Linked DNA regions of Oryza sativa Japonica Group. The protein of the gene in region 1 interacts with the protein of each later gene in a pairwise test. Links are inferred from orthologs where the notes say so. Each region holds a gene or a part of one and is shown in the gene's direction. Other genes may lie near its edges.

Region 1 (8,098 bases):
TGCTTTTAGGCGAGCTTATTAGTCTATTTTTCATAATACTTTTTCACAATTTTGAAAGGCCTAGGGAGAAATATTTAATGGTGCAAAAGGGACGAGTTTTGAAACATTTGTTTGTCGCAGAAGCACCAGACCATTCTGATTGTTATTGTAAGCTGTAACATCAAAGTTTTGGCAGCAGGTTTTCATGTGCTCTTAAGCGTTGGGGGTTTGTTCCGTTTGGTTTTCAACTGTATGCTAGCTTTCTCTATTAGCCAATGTAATGGCAGTTGCAAAATCTGTTGTAGTGCAGGCGTGCAGCTAAATGCAGTATAGCTGACTGTTAACTTTAAGCTGATTGTTCCATGCATGTGCCAGTAAAAGGCCAGTCAGGAATGAGTCTCATGGATCAATATATGGTGCAGACATGTCAGTAGGATATAGGAGTATTACATTATAGTTTTTTCAGCTTCAATAACGTTCATGTTAGCTTGTACATTGTATGGCAACCCTTCCATACTTGCGTTAGCCACAAAAGTTCACCATGTTAGCTTGGCTTTAGATCAGTTTAAACTGTCCTTTAATAGCAAATTAATAATCCATAAATGAAATTTTACTTCCACTGTTTACCAGTGCTACTACTGTTCTACCTCCAGCGTTCAACAGCTGAGAAACGTGAGGAGTCCAGCACCAGCAGTACCATTTACTGCAATGCGAGAGAGATGTTCTCCGTTTCCTCCTTCACTGAGGCTTAGGAGTAGGAGTAGTAGTGATTTTTTCGTGTCGACTTGTTTAACATTATCGTTAACACCATCAAGTGTCAATGCCAGTAGCCTGCTGCTTCTGATCATTTCTTCCTTCCCTCTTCTAACGCCATTATCGTTTTATCTCACCTTGCATTTATGTTCAAGTGACCATGGTTCTTGACAGAAGCAGCCCTTGTTCTTTCCTGTCCCTTTGTTTGTTCAGTACGCTATTATTCTCTTGGGTACTAGACCTTGTATAAACCGGTTGTGAAATCCTCAATCAAATAAAAGTTAACTCGAAATTTGTGGCCTGTTCCAAGTGTTTGGCAAACCAATATGTATATTATCCACCCGATTATCTAATGGCAATACAGTGCCTAAAATTCCTGCTTCCGGAGTCTTAAACTTTACCCGAATCCAATCTGGAAACCGAAAAGACAGCTGCTTGGCTGATGGCAAGTCACTGGGTACATTGATTTGTGTTAATTTTCAGTCCAATAAAACAGCGCAAAAATTGTAAGGGTGATCCCTCTTTAGTAAAGCCATGCATTCTGCAAACTCTGTTGCAATGCAAGCTGTATCCTATATCCAGTGCCGATGAACCAATTCTGTTTGCAGACTGTACCCTATCTCTACTCTACAAGCCAACCAAAGGAAAGTGTTTGATCTGCAGTGGAATACTAGCAGGTATTCCACCATTTCAGGGTTGGGAGTGTGATTGATATGCAGGAGATTGACATTGTGCAGAACATTGGCCGTCAGGCTGCCGCTGCCGTCGCCGGTGGTGTCGGTGAGAAAGCCCGGTGGTGGTGGTTGTGCCGGCGGCGAGGAGTGGCTGCAACAGGATGGGCTGTTGTGCATGGGCGGATCAGCGGGTGGCTTATGGCGGTGGCCACGCTGTTCGCCGGCGACGGACCCGGCGGCGGCGGCCTTCACGAGGGACGGCGCATGATGATCCTGGATAATTTCGAGACTTCGGGCCGGCGTGCGTGCAAAGCCCATACATATTCTACGCGCAACTGTCACGCACAAAAACGAAGTTTTTAGTACCACATGGAAAATCTATGACGACTGACACCGGCATAAAAGACGACGCGCTCGCATCGCTCCTGGCGAGCTCGGTGGCGTGAGCTTGTTACCCCAGCTGCGGGGGGGCGGGAGTTGGCATGTTTCGGCTGCTGGAGAAAATGAGGTTTCTCCCTCGATCGAATATGGATGCAAACATCCTCCCGACTTTGGCCCACGAGGGAGGGAAGGTGTGAGTCACCCTGGGCTCTTGACGGCTGCGTCATGGAGCGAAGAGGACGCTGAATCGTGGGAGAGGTGTGTGGTGGCCGGTGCCCGACGACGGCGCCTGGCGATGCGTGGGGAGAAGGCGAGCAGTTGTATGTGAAGAGGACGCTGAATCGTGGGAGAGGTGTGTGGTGGCCGGTGCCCGACGACGGCGCCTGGCGATGGGTGGGGAGAAGGCGAGCAGTTGTAGTTGGGACCCGCCACACCCCGCACGTGCGCAAGTCCATGACGTGAGCGCTCCCGGTCATTAGGAGCCACGTCAGCTGGCGGCCTCCGCCGTTGAGCTTTTCCCTGCCAACCGACACCCTTCTCCCCACCCATTGGCGAATGCCCTAGAGGTTTGGGTTGAGATAGGAGTAGAGGGGAGTGAGGTGGAAGAAGATTGCTAGTTGGCTTGTGGGTTCCACGTGGGCCCTGCACTGACTCAGCCACCACGTCAACAAAACCGGAAAGCAATACTACCTTGGGATTAAAAGTGGACCGTTTTGCAAGATTAGGGGTTCAGGGCCGTTTAAAACTCAACGACAAGATAAGGGACCTTAGATGAACTTTTTTGGGAGATGAGGCGCCTGTGCATATGACCCATAGGCAGGCGACAACGCGGCAGCAGAGCGCTGCACGACCTCCGCCTCCCCAATCCGTCCCGTCTCCTCGCCCGCCGCCCTCGACTCCCGTCTCCTCGCCTGCCGCTGGCGCCGATCTCCATCCTGCTAGCAGAGGTGGCGCCGGCGTCCTCCTGCTCCCGCCGCATTCGCATCCTAATCCATCCCATCCGGCCTCGGCCTCGAATTTCGTCTCCTCGCCCGCCGCTTGCGCCGATCCCCATCCTGCGAGCAGAGGTGGCGCCCGGCGTCCTCCTTCTTCCACCGCATCGTCGCTCGCCGGTGAGCATCCCTCCCTACCCACACCTCATCAGGTATTCTGCGTTATCCCTCAAAAAGTTTGGGGGTTCAACCGAAACAGGGTTAGATCTGCCTCTGCCCAGCTCCACCTACTTTCAAGTTGTTAATTTTGATTTCCGTTTTTAGCAGATGTAATTTGGTTATTGAATCTCATCCAAACACCCTTAGAACGAAAAATGTAAGCTCACATAATTTGTACTCATCCAAACTCACATAAATTTCTTAAGAAGAATCTAGACCACAAACTACCCATAGTCACACAAAATATCTTTTTATCAAGGTATATTCTTATAAGTAATTTTTATTCCACAAAATTTTCTAAAGGACATACTGTGACACTTGGCATGAATCTAATTTAACATTCTTTCTTTATCAGGTTATAAATTGAAACCATTGAACGTACTTTGTCTTCCCGTCCCTAAAACATTGTGATATATCTGTAATATTTTAATATTTTTAATTTTAAAAATAATTTAGACTAATAATATAGATATTTAAATTAGGTAATTAGTAAATTCAAATCAACTATAGTTTGGAATAAAAAAACAAAATGATATATGCCAAGTACAATCTAATAACAATAGAATGCACTTTTGGTTAATGTTTACTCCTAATTTCTTAATTTCTAGTTTGGCTCCCCCCACCGTTATGGTAAAAAATCGTTATGTTTTAACTATTTATCTGCTAGAGCATATGTAATATTTATGTAAACTATGTTCTTTATTACCAATCAAAATAGACACCTTACCTACTTTCATCAAAAGAAATAAAAAATGTAGTAGGTATTATTCTGGAATACTCCTCGTCGGAAACATATGGAACGCATTTCCCTCAAAACGCAAAAACCGGGGCCCCGAGCCCTCGACACCAACCCCGTCAGATGTGAAGCCGACGGCCCAAATGGAGGCCAGCGGTGCCAATGCGTAGGCCACGCGTGCCTCTGCGCAAATCTTATCTCCCGGGAGGCTTCGCTCCACTTCCCTCCCCGAGTCACTCAAACCATCCAATCCCCCCACCTTCCCTTTCCTTGCCCCCATTCCCCACCGTCGCAAGGAAAAATATTATTAATAAACAATGATGTTGATGTATTATTATTAAACAATGATATTGATGTATTTCTAAATATTTTCACGTATTATTTATTAAGTGTCAGTGATTGAAATGGATCCTGGTCGGAAATGAATCCTGGTCGGAAAATGGTTACTAATGTTTTTCCTTCATATAATATTTCTGGATATGTATAACAATGTGGGTCAGCAATATTGAACTATGCAAACCATTACTCTGTACAATCTTTTCTTTTCAAATGCTGGCCACATTTCGCTCGAGCTTACTGCTCATGTATGCAGCTCATGGATCCTGAGATCTAGACGTCAACGTGCTTCCTGGAAAGAGAGAGGCTCAGGCATGAGAGCATACCTCTAAAATAATGTCCGTGCTTACCTGTGTGCTTGATAACATGGGCTCATCCTGTAGCAGATCTCATTCTTTAAGTGAGGCTGAAACAACCAAAAATGCAAAAGTAAGTTAGCACTCGGACTTATTGAACAAGTAAATGCTAACTCAATTCTTGATTTGAGAGTTGCCACATTTGGTTTCTTCTAATTCAGCTGGTAACAGTCTGCAGACATTGACAGGCGAATTTTGCAAGAGACAAAAGCAGAGCAACACATCCACAAGCTCTTACTTCTTGGTATTGCTAACTTTCCCAAATTTAAGTGGTCATTTTCCTTGTCACAATTATCTGTGCTACCTTTAGTATCTATTGGTTCAGAAAATTAATTGTTTATGTTGTTCCTATTTACCTCTATAAAAAAACCTTTCTCATGTTATTTCCAAAAAAAAAGAAGATAAATAAATGTATCCTAGAAATTTTTAGTTTGAACTTGTTCTCAATGTGGATCCATCCTTCTTTCTCTCTCTCAATTGCTTCTGTTTTAAGGTGCGGGAGAATCAGGGAAGTCTACGATATTTAAACAGGTGATGAATGTTATATTCCATGGAGAATCATAATCCGTACGCCGCTAGTTAGTCTGATGTATTCTTACTGTTCACCTGCAGATTAAGCTCCTTTTCCAAACTGGCTTTGATGAGGCAGAACTTAGGAGCTACACATCAGTTATCCATGCAAACGTCTATCAGACAATTAAAGTATGCAATACTGGAAAGGGTGTGTCTTTTTTTTCTTATTGCAAAGTGGGGATTATGTAGGAGATTCGACTAGGGATTTGTATTCTGTTCATAAGGAAATGCGTTCATACTTTTCCTTTTTGTCGAGTAATGTGTTAAATGTTAACAGATACTATATGAAGGAGCAAAAGAACTCTCACAAGTGGAATCAGATTCCTCAAAGTATGTTATATCCCCAGATAACCAGGTTTGTGCTTACTCTTTACTCAACAGTTAAAGCTAAATCTGTGCATATGAACATGTCTTGTTAAATCTGGGAATACAAACATTTTGATTTGCAACATTTCTGTTGTAGTCAAGCTGCTCGGCTCTATGTTTTAACCTGTTAAGACCTTGTAGACTGTGCTCGGCTCTATTGTAGTCTTATATTTTACACGGTCATTCTATAATGAAAACTTGAAAAAGATATCTATTGAACCGTACAATGTACTGAACAAAGTAGAAAAGAACAATGAGATTTTGTAACATTTATTCTTCCTTGTTTATTTGATTGCTTCAGACAATTGTTGATATGCTAAAAATAACTTGGTATCAAATGTGGGTGTTATAAGATTCAATTTTTTTCTCAACCAGGTTAAAAAAAGTATACCTTTGTGCATTTACCTTGTTCCGTTGCTTTGGAACTTTAAAGGAAAACTGACTTTTCTTAGGCATTGAAAGACAAATATCACCAGTTTCACACTGTACACCTTACCAACCAATTTTGTTTCTTAGATGTCATTTACTTTGTCATATCATCAGGAAATTGGAGAAAAACTATCAGATATTGATGGCAGGTTGGATTATCCACTGCTGAACAAAGAACTTGTACTCGATGTAAAAAGGTTATGGCAAGACCCAGCCATTCAGGTGAAAACAAATAGCCATTCAAATCTTTTGAAGTTATATAGTTTTCCTGGCCAGGTGTGCTGAAGCAATGCTCTATACTGTAGGAAACTTACTTACGTGGAAGTATTCTGCAACTTCCTGATTGTGCACAATACTTCATGGAAAATTTGGATCGATTAGCTGAAGCAGGTTATGTGCCAACAAAGGTGTGCTGTCCATGTTCATAGACAATTATTTACATATTCTCAGATATTTGTGCTGACACCATTTCATGTTGATTTTTAGTCTACTTAGTCAGAGGTTGTCAAATGGTTAACTATGTGTACTGAGTCAGAGGTTGCCAAATAGTTTTAAAAGATGGGCATATGTTTATCCTTATCTTTTAAATAATATTGGAGGCTATCCTTTAAAATTCAATATTAGGGAGGAGAAACTATTATTCTACCGTTATTACGCAGTCTACATAACGAAGGTAAAAAATGTCCCTGTGAAACATAGGGTGCAAAACTGCTGTGAATAAAACTCTACTTATCTAAGCACCTTGAGCTTTTGAGTTCCCACATATTAATCTTATGACACTAGCATATATTTTTTTTGTTCAGTTCCTTCAATAAGTTGCAAACCACAAATATGATCACTGTACCATCCACTTTTGCAACCATTTCCCGTCATTTCTTAAGCATAGAAAATTGTTTGTCACTTGTTTAAGTCCACACTGCATCAAAATTCCAATTAACATTGTGTGTGCTAAGTGAAGATATGACTCCATATTTCTGCATTTAGCAGTCTGATGGATAATTTGTGATTGTACCTTGTCTAATGGTTCGTTTGAAAGGCTGGTAGTTGATCTTCCATACTTAAGAATGCTTGCAGTATTATAGTTGTCAATATTATGAGTCATTTTGCAGGAGGATGTGCTTTATGCAAGAGTACGGACAAATGGTGTTGTACAAATACAATTTAGGTAATCTGCTGACACTATTTTTTGCACATTTTTTTGCTGGTTGCTCTACTATGTACAGAACGACAAGTTGAAGTCCTTTTTTTCTCCCCTTTCACTTCTAAGATATGACCTGAGAGGTTCTGAATGTAGCTGTTTTAAGATGAGTTGAATCATCTAGTTAACTGGGTTTCTTTCTGCAGTCCTGTTGGAGAAAACAAAAGAGGTGGAGAGGTATATAGGTTGTATGATGTAGGAGGCCAGAGGAATGAGAGGAGAAAGTGGATTCATCTTTTTGAAGGTGTTAATGCGGTAATCTTTTGTGCTGCCATTAGCGAGTAAGTACAATTTTTTTGATTGTTGAACTTATCCTAATCTGCTAAGTTCTTCTCATAGGCTTCTTGTTCATTTCAGATATGATCAGATGCTATTTGAAGATGAGACAAAAAACAGAATGATGGAGACCAAGGAACTCTTTGACTGGGTTTTAAAGCAAAGATGTTTTGAGGTCTGCATGCATCCATCTCTGCAACCTTTGTGCTCATGCTTTTTTTCTCATTTTGAAACTAATTACGGTGCTATATTGACCATCAGAAAACATCATTCATTCTGTTTCTCAACAAATTTGATATATTCGAGAAGAAAATACAAAAGGTAAGGCCTGCTCTTTGTACCAATGCATAGTTTAGTACTAAATGTTACCAACATTTATGTTTACGCTGGTTACGTAGGTTCCTTTAAGTGTGTGCGAGTGGTTTAAAGACTACCAGCCTATTGCACCTGGGAAACAGGAGGTTGAACATGCATATGAGTGAGTGCACTACTCGCCCTCTCAGATGAACATGGGCATTTGGCCATTTGTAATGTTGCTGCATGGTGCACTTATATGCCTTGATAAGTTTTTCCATTCTAATGTTATATAGTATCAAACGTTCATCATTACTGTGGCTTATGGTCTGGAGTGACGTTTTACAGGTTTGTCAAGAAGAAGTTTGAAGAGCTCTACTTCCAGAGCAGCAAGCCTGACCGTGTGGACCGCGTCTTCAAAATCTACAGAACTACGGCCCTAGACCAGAAACTTGTAAAGAAGACATTCAAGTTGATTGATGAGAGCATGAGACGCTCCAGGGAAGGAACTTGATTCAGAGCTAAGACTAGGTTGTAAGTCACACAGGGAAGGTAATTAGGACGGCGAGAGGAACAAAGTTTCACACTGTCACAGC
Region 2 (8,262 bases), on another chromosome or scaffold:
CCTCTCTCTCCCGCCCGCGCCCGCGCCCGAGATGGCCGGGATTCGATTTTCGAATCCCGCCTCTCTCTCTCCTCTCCCACTCCCCCACGTTGGCCGGCGGAATCTCGCCCCTACCGGCCACGTCCAAGACTCCCCTCTCCTATTTAAGCTCCGCCGTCGCCCCCTCTCTCTTTTTCCCCATTTCGCCGAACACCCTCGTGCTCCCCATCGCTCCCGCGCCGTGCACCCACCCGCCGCCGCCTTTCCCGCCGCTCCGGCCGCCGCTAGCCGCCGCTAGGCTCGCCGCCGCACCGCGCCGTCGCCGCCGTCGGGTTCGCAAGGACGAACTCCACCCCGTCCGCCCTTCCTCCGTCGGGATTCGTCGCCGGAATTCGCATCCCCTCGTGCTCTGGTGAGTTCTACCTCTACCGCCGCCTTCGGCCATGGATGCCGGCCGCTGTGGTTCATCTTCCTCTCTCTAATCTCTCTCTCCTCCTTCCTTAGGGCACCCCGAAGCCCGTCTGCCGGTTGCCGTCGTCCTCCCGTGGCTTGCCGTCACCGTTCGCCGTCGTCTTCCTCCGCGCCGGCCACCCTCGGTGAGGCTTCCTCTCCCCTCTATTCCCCTCCCTCTCCTTCCTAGCCGCCGCTTAGCGCCGCCGCCTTCGCGTCGCCTTTGCGCCGTCGCCTCCGCCGCCGGTTGCCGTCGCCGGCAACGCGTTCGCGCGCGCGCGCCGTTGCCATCGCCGTGGCCGGTCGGCCGGCCTTGAGCCGAGCCGAGCCGGGTCGCCGCCGCCCGTCCGATCAACCCCGGGGGCGATCTGGGCCGTCGGTCCCGTGGACCGACGGTGGACCACCCGCGTGGTCCCGGTCCACGGTGGACCCCCCTTGAGCCGCTGCCGAGTGGGGCCCGCTTGCCGGCGCCCCTTTTCCCTCTCTCCCGAGCCGCTGACCGGTGGGCCCCGCATGTCGGCGCCTCGCCCCCCTTGATGACGTCAGTCCTGGGAATTATTACGCAATAAATGATTTAAGAACTTTTTGTTATAGTAATAAACACAGTGAATCTTCTAAAATTCATAACTAATTCATCCGTGCTCCGTTTAAGCCCATTCAAGTCTCAGTAAATCAAGAAAAATGTATAGAATCCATTAAAAATGGTTTTGTTCTCTGTTTCAGTAGTCTTATAGCCTGTTTGCAATGTTTCCCTTGTATGTCGCTAGATTCCGGTTCTTCCGACGCTTCGGTGTACTTCGAGATAGTCGCCGAGGTTTCTCCAGCAGCAGAGCAAGGCAAGTCATGCTTGTCACTTGAACATGTTGATCCTATATTGCAAATGCTCTATTGTTTTTCTTCAAATATTGCATTGTTTTATAATGTTACTATGGGGTGTTTACCTATTGTTACAGCCATGCCATTTTTGATACCATGCTCCTTTGTTAGCTTGGGTTATAACATGAATAGATTTTGGACTAGGAATTGCTTAGCCATGCTTAGTTCCACTAGCACACAATGGGGAAAGCTCACTAAAATATAGACTTTAGGTTCAATTGGTAAGGTTGGTTTAGTACCACCGTTTTGGTGTTGGTTAATTAAAATGAATCACATGGTGGGCTGTGGGTGCATGGTTTTGCTAGTCGCACCCATGGCAGTTAAGGACCGGTTCGCGGGATGCCCTGGAAGAACTTATCGTACTTACCACAAGCCAGCGTGGGCAACGGCTGGGCTTGTAGTGTAGCTTTCCTCTAGCTGACGCATCCAGGCAAGGGTGGGCGTGATGGAGCGGGGCGGGCCCTGCGACGGCCTCTGTCGCTTCCGGATTCACCTAGGCACGAGAGGGGACTGCCCGCTGCCTTGCGAGGAGTGGGGGTGAAACCTGAGGTGTGGTGTGCTTGGTTAGAGGGGGTTATGCGAAGGGTCCTGTCACGGCCTCTTTCCGGTATGTCGTGGTGGCATGTCGGCGCACGGAAACGTGTCGTGGGGCTGTGTCTTGTGGGTACAGTTGTACACCTCTGATCAGAGTAAAACTATTCGAATAGCCGTGCCCGCGGTTATGGGCGCTCAACCAGATTCACCGTGATTAGTCTTACCCTAGTTTAGTCTAATGAAATTGGATAGTATAGATGGATGGTTGGGCCTGTTGCAACGTGGGATAGCGTTGGACAGCGGATGATCAATATTAATTAATTATTGCAACTGTTTAATTCTTTCAACTTCTGTTTATAAATACTCGCTTTATGCAAATGAACCACTCTAGCTCTCCTTTGATAATTCCCTGCATCATACCCCTATTCCGGTATGACTTGCTGAGTACAGTGGGTAGTACTCAGTCTTGCTCTATTTTTTCCCCAACCCCAGAGTACGAGTATGTGTCAGATGGAGGTTTCTCCGAGGAGTAGGCTTCGTCCGTACCGTCGAGGATGCCTGTGGAGTGGTATTCCCGCTGCAGTTCTAGTCAAGGCTTAGCTCCTGTTGTCTTTCGTTTTTCCGCTGCATTTATGTAAGACTTTTATAATGATTGTAAGACGTGGATCTGAATGTCAACATTGTCGTTTGTGTACCCTGGCCGGTCCTGGACGGGGATTTTAATGCACATTCTGCTTGGAATTTTATTCGGGAATTTCTAGGCGTGACATGACGCGGCCGACGAGCTCCGACCGGCGCAGATCGGGGAGAAAGACGGCATCGGCACTTCTCCCCTCCCTCCCCCTTCTTCACCTCTTCTCTTGTGGGCCCAAAAGCTGCACTTTTTACGAAGAACGGGGAGCCATTGTCTCCCCATCTTGGCGAGGCTCCTTGCTATGCTAGGTGGAGGGAATCTTTGAGCTGATTCGGTGAGGGAGAATGACAACTAGTTGTATTGTGAATGACCTAAGTGCTAGACCTTGTAATAAGGCTGCGTTCGGCAAAGTGAGTTGCTAGCTCCACCTCATTTGTTTTCTGCGTACACGTTTCCTGAATTGCTAAACATTGTGTTTTTTATGAAAAAATTTCTATACGAAAGTTGCTTTTAAAAATCATAGTGATTCATTTTTAAACTACTACTTAATTAACTATATGCTAATGAGTCGCTCCATTTTACGTACGCAAGGGATTAACTTGCATCTCAAAGCTGTAAAACACAACCTAAGGACTTCTTAGGCTGTCTTCTTTCCTAGGTGATCTGGGTGATTGTGAGTGAGTTTTGTTTCGTTTTCCGCGCGCACGTTTTCCGAACTACTAAACGGTGCGTTTTTTGCAAAAAAAAAATTCTATAGGAAAGTTGCTTTAAAAAATCATATTAATTCATTTTTGAAGTTTAAAATACTTAATAGTCAATTAATCATATGCTAATGACTCACCTCGTTTTGTGTATCTTCCCAATCTCCTCTATCTCCTCTCCTCAAACACAGCCTTAGTAGCTCAATAAAAATTTACAAGTTGCAGGATATTTTTTTACTTGTTTTGCTGATATAATCTCGTCAACGGATAACATCAACCAAACAAACGGACAAATATTTCAAAAACGGTCTTACCATCAAACACTTCTGTTGCGTACACACCACTGACAGAGTAGCAACGCACCAAACACTTCCATCGTCATTAGCTGCTAAAGTCCTAAACTAAACCATCAAAACAACTGCTTCCGATCTTTTCAAAGTCCAAATCACAAATCCGCAAGCAAATCCCACCTCTCACGCCCATAAAAATTCGCCCCAAAAAAGCTAAAACTTCGTCCAAAATTCAGGAAAATTACTTGAAAGCGTGACGCGGACACGTGGCGCCTCCGTAGTGGTCGAGAAACCTGAGCAAGGCCTACTGGATAAGAAAGATGGGAAGATCCCATCCCTCCAACCCCAAGCTTGTATAGCCTTTTCTCCTCTCTCTCGCGCACGCGCCTTTTTGCGCCTAATTTACCGTTTTACCCCTCGCCGGCGGCCGCCGCACTCCGGCGAGAGAATCGGCAGCAGGTGGGCGGGGGACTCCACGATGGCGGCCATATCTTCGCTTCCCTTCGCGGCACTGCGCCGGGCCGCCGACTGCAGGCCGTCGACGGCGGCGGCGGCGGCGGGGGCGGGGGCGGGGGCCGTCGTGCTCAGCGTGAGGCCCCGGCGGGGGTCGCGCTCGGTGGTGCGCTGCGTCGCCACGGCGGGCGGTGAGCTTGCTCGCTCGCGCTCTCTCTGTTTTTTTTCTCTCACTCACTGGTGCTTCTGGCGTCGGTGATGAACACGTAGTGGTAGTGCGTTCGATTGCGACAGAAGAGCTTCTCTTTTTGCGTGGGGGTTTCACTAGCAAAATCTGGATCCTGGTTCTTCTTGGGGATGCTGCAAGATTGTTTGTGGCGGGGACTACAAGCCAATCTAGCGTCCTATGTTTGGAGGAAGAACTGGCAACTGTGATTTTTGGGTGAACAATTAGCATTTGTAGTTGTGTATCCATGCGGTTTTGATGCTTGGTTATTCTTTCTAGCAGGGAATTCATGTCTGTTTTAGATGCGAGCTTGGGAATTTTTTTAGAATTTCGTATCACTAGTTTAGCCATATGTGATTTTCAACAATCTAGCTGATTTTGATCCACAAATAGCGAAGGGTAGGACTATTCAGTTGTGTATTTGTTTTTTGCCGGGTCGGCGAAGGAGCCGACCAAATTTCATTAAGAATGAAAGGAGAGTTTACAAGTTTACACGACATTAAACTGTCGAGCCGGGGAGACCCCGGAGCAGAGAAACAGGATCAGTTGTGTATTTGCGCCAATCATCTTATGTTAGCCAAACCTCACAAGCCCTGGTTAGCTGTTCAGGCCTATGATTCCTGCTTTTCTGTTGAATTGTGGCAGTAAACTGCCAAATGCTTCCTTGTAGAACGATTTGATGCGTTTACATATTTCCGCTCATTTCGTTCCACAGTTTCTTCATGGTGTTCTGTTGCTTCTGCCCCCTTTCCTGTCAACTTTCTTCAATTCATCGAGCAAGTGCCGATTACTTGTCAAGTATTTGATACTGGATCATTGTATGTCCAAATGTTTTCAGTTATTATGATCACAAAGGCAGCAACTAACTTATAACATATTGTACACAGCATGATGAACAAGTTATCGCCACAGCGTTTTTCACTTGTTCTGAATATTGTGCAGATGTTCCACCCACTGTCGCAGAAACAAAGATGAATTTTCTCAAGTCATACAAGCGTCCTATCCTAAGCATTTACAGTACAGTTCTACAAGAACTTTTGGTACAGCAACATCTGATGAGATACAAAACAACATATCAATATGATGCGGTGTTTGCTCTTGGTTTTGTGACCGTCTATGACCAACTCATGGAAGGGTACCCTAGCAATGAGGATAGGGATGCAATCTTCAAAGCATATATAACAGCGTTAAACGAAGACCCTGAGCAATACAGGTGCCTACTGTAACTTACAACTGTTTTTTATTCACAGTGATGTTAGCATCTTCTTGTTTTATATTCAATTAGATTTCTCATAACCAAATTGAACCTTCAAACAATATCCTACACTTAATTGATCCAAGTAATTTTTTTATAGATTTATATAATTCACAGCCATGAATTTTCAGCATAAATATTACCCCCAATTCGTTGAATTCATATGTCAACCATAGCCTTTTCCTATAGAGATAGTAGCAATTATCTATCTTGCCGCTGTAAAAAATGTCACATTTTGCACTATCTATTTGTTGCATGCTTTGCTTATTTGTGGATCACCAATTATCTGCTTTATTTGCGTCAATGAAAGCTAATGTATTATTGGGTTACTAGTTTGTTTTGGCATCAACAGAGGTGTCTTTCCAAGCAATCATAGTAAGTGTTTTCTGTTCTTTCTTCAGAGCTGACGCACAAAAGATGGAAGAGTGGGCTCGTTCCCAGAATGGTAATTCTTTAGTTGAGTTTTCATCCAAAGATGGAGAAATAGAGGCCATTCTGAAAGATATTTCAGAAAGGGCCCAGGGTAAGGGAAGCTTCAGCTACAGCCGGTTCTTTGCAGTTGGCTTGTTCCGTTTGCTTGAGCTTGCAAATGCAACAGAGCCAACCATACTAGACAAGGTTGTTATTGCCATTAATAATTTTGTTTCTGACTATCATACTTATTTTTGCTTCACTTCCAAATTATATCTTCTAATAACGCTTATGTGTGTTTCTCAAGTTATATTTTAGAGAGCATGTTTCCAATACATTTTAGTTTTCGCAGAAAGAAAGGATTTATCTCAAATCAATTAAGGGGTTGGCTTGTGTCTGCTGTCTAATATCTTGCAACCACAGCTGGTTAAGTGTCTATGCGGTGTTCTTTTTAACCTACTACTTCGCTGATATGCTAGATTACTAGTAAAGGACTAAGTCTGACTCTATTCCATCCTACAGCGTACGGGCCTGTTTGGCACAGTTCTAACTCCAGTTCCGCCTCTCCTGGAGTTGGAGCCCAGCCAAATAGTTCAACTCCACCTAAAATGGGAGTGGAGCTGGGTGGAGCGCTCTCACAAAATGAACTAGAGAGGTGGAGCTTGGGTTTAGGCAGCTCCACAACTCCACTCCGAACCCAACTCCTAGAGTTAAATTTTAGGAGTTGGAGCTCTACCAAACATGCCCTCCATACCTATTGACTAAGCCTCTGACTCGACTCCATCATACTTTCCTATTGACTAAGCCTCTTACTCGACTCCATCATTCATTCCTATCACTTCAGAACCACAGCTCCCACCTCTAAAATCTAACTACCCTAGCTGAGTGCGCACGAACTGCTTTCCTAAATATTTCTCCTCAAACGTTGAGGTTAGCAAATGTTCTAATCGTTATGGCATGTGATCAACTGACAATTCAAGTTTGTGATGGTTTCTATTATTTATGATGTTTCTTAAGCCAGAATAGGAAATAGCACTAAGGAGGTTCGAGTTCAGTTTTGGCTTCTAACTTAGTACCAATGTTGGGGGCATATCTGGACTTTTCTGTGGGAGGACTCATTGGAGATAGGGAGATTCCATACAGGATAAAACTCCAAAAGCATTCTTGAGGCATTCTAGTATAGTACAAGTCAAGTAATTTTTTCAGTGTCCAATGATAATTTCAGGAAACATTTAAGCCAGTTATGTTTGTCATTTGGTGAACTCAAAATGTAATGTGCACTTTGATGTTACCTACTTACCTCACTAATATTTTCAATGGCTTCCTTGACAGCTTTGCGCTGCTCTAAACATCAACAAAAGAAGTGTCGACAGGGATCTCGATGTTTACCGGAACATACTCTCCAAATTGGTCCAGGCTAAGGAACTTCTCAAGGAATACGTGGAAAGGTAACCAACTTATCCGCTGATTTCCCACTTCTCTTACTGCCCAAACCCTGATTTGTTCAATCACTGATATTACTAACGCACGAGGGATGTTCCTAATTTTATTTTGCAACAATTGTGTGATATTAATAGCTTTATACTTGAAGTTTACTGTTTAGCACATAAATCTCTCCTCTTTCAATGAGCCCAGGCAAATGGATTAGTTTATATTGCCTTCTCTTTACATTTTGTATCCTCCCCAGTTTTTCTGTGTTAAACTGATCATCTCAACGAGTTGAACTCAACTTTGTTGGCAGGGAAAAGAAGAAGAGAGAGGAAAGATCAGAGACCCCAAAATCGAATGAAGCTGTTACGAAATTTGACGGGAGTCTCAATTCCATGAGGCATTAACTCAAGCCTTCATAAGGGGAGTGAGTGCTACCGTGGATAACAGATTTTAACAGAGTTCTGGATCACGTTGAGAAACTATCAAGGTCACCTTTCACTGCACGGACACTTTGGCTGCTCTCGTGTGGTTTTGTATTCTGCCGTATAAAAGGATCCAGATTGTTCTTACTACTGAGCATTATATTTTTTTTGTAATTCTCCTTTTCAGTGTTCAAATGTATCGTTTTCCTTTTCTTTGACAATATATGAAGAGGTATGTGGGGATCAATGTTACTCACAAGATGAAAAATATATTGTTCAGTTATCTCTTCATGATGAAAATGAAATCGGTCACAAGTTCTTTCTTTGGATCTGTATGTATCAGGAATATCAGTGGTGGAAACGAGCAGGAAGACTTTTCTGCATTGGATCATATGCCAGAAAATCTAGGACTTGTTTGGTTGGGTTCTAGCTCTAGATTCTTGTTATGTGGAGCAGGAGCCAAACCAAACACTCCTAGATCCTCCTAAGAGTGGAGTGGATGGATCTGCTTCACAAAATATATATGAAGGGTGGAGCTACCATTTTCTAGTTTCACAACTTCAGCTCCATATTAAGTTTTTTTTTTTAGCTCCATATTAG

The links.
Region 2: the proteins of guanine nucleotide-binding protein alpha-1 subunit (region 1) and protein THYLAKOID FORMATION1, chloroplastic interact in binary tests that used the Arabidopsis thaliana proteins (3 or more experiments, as listed by UniProt). The link is inferred for Oryza sativa Japonica Group from reciprocal best matches to the Arabidopsis thaliana genes GP ALPHA 1 and PSB29.

The regions. Positions count from the first base shown.
Region 1 is NC_089039.1:15,699,142-15,707,239, reverse strand, and holds the start of guanine nucleotide-binding protein alpha-1 subunit, read left to right. Parts: upstream 1-2,557; 5' UTR 2,558-2,899; intron 2,900-4,266; 5' UTR 4,267-4,346; coding exon 4,347-4,439; intron 4,440-4,537; coding exon 4,538-4,610; intron 4,611-4,859; coding exon 4,860-4,897; intron 4,898-4,978; coding exon 4,979-5,068; coding exon of another isoform or gene 5,069-5,087; intron 5,088-5,216; coding exon 5,217-5,294; intron 5,295-5,848; coding exon 5,849-5,956; intron 5,957-6,039; coding exon 6,040-6,141; intron 6,142-6,843; coding exon 6,844-6,899; intron 6,900-7,078; coding exon 7,079-7,213; intron 7,214-7,289; coding exon 7,290-7,383; intron 7,384-7,469; coding exon 7,470-7,529; intron 7,530-7,606; coding exon 7,607-7,686; intron 7,687-7,850; coding exon 7,851-8,016; 3' UTR 8,017-8,098. UniProt on the Arabidopsis thaliana protein: Exhibits a fast rate of basal nucleotide exchange. Guanine nucleotide-binding proteins (G proteins) are involved as modulators or transducers in various transmembrane signaling systems.
Region 2 is NC_089041.1:22,548,084-22,556,345, reverse strand, and holds protein THYLAKOID FORMATION1, chloroplastic, read left to right. Parts: upstream 1-3,823; 5' UTR 3,824-3,942; coding exon 3,943-4,108; intron 4,109-5,085; coding exon 5,086-5,356; intron 5,357-5,799; coding exon 5,800-6,016; intron 6,017-7,141; coding exon 7,142-7,257; intron 7,258-7,550; coding exon 7,551-7,644; 3' UTR 7,645-7,985; downstream 7,986-8,262. UniProt on the Arabidopsis thaliana protein: Involved in a dynamic process of vesicle-mediated thylakoid membrane biogenesis. Required for the normal organization of vesicles into mature thylakoid stacks and ultimately for leaf development.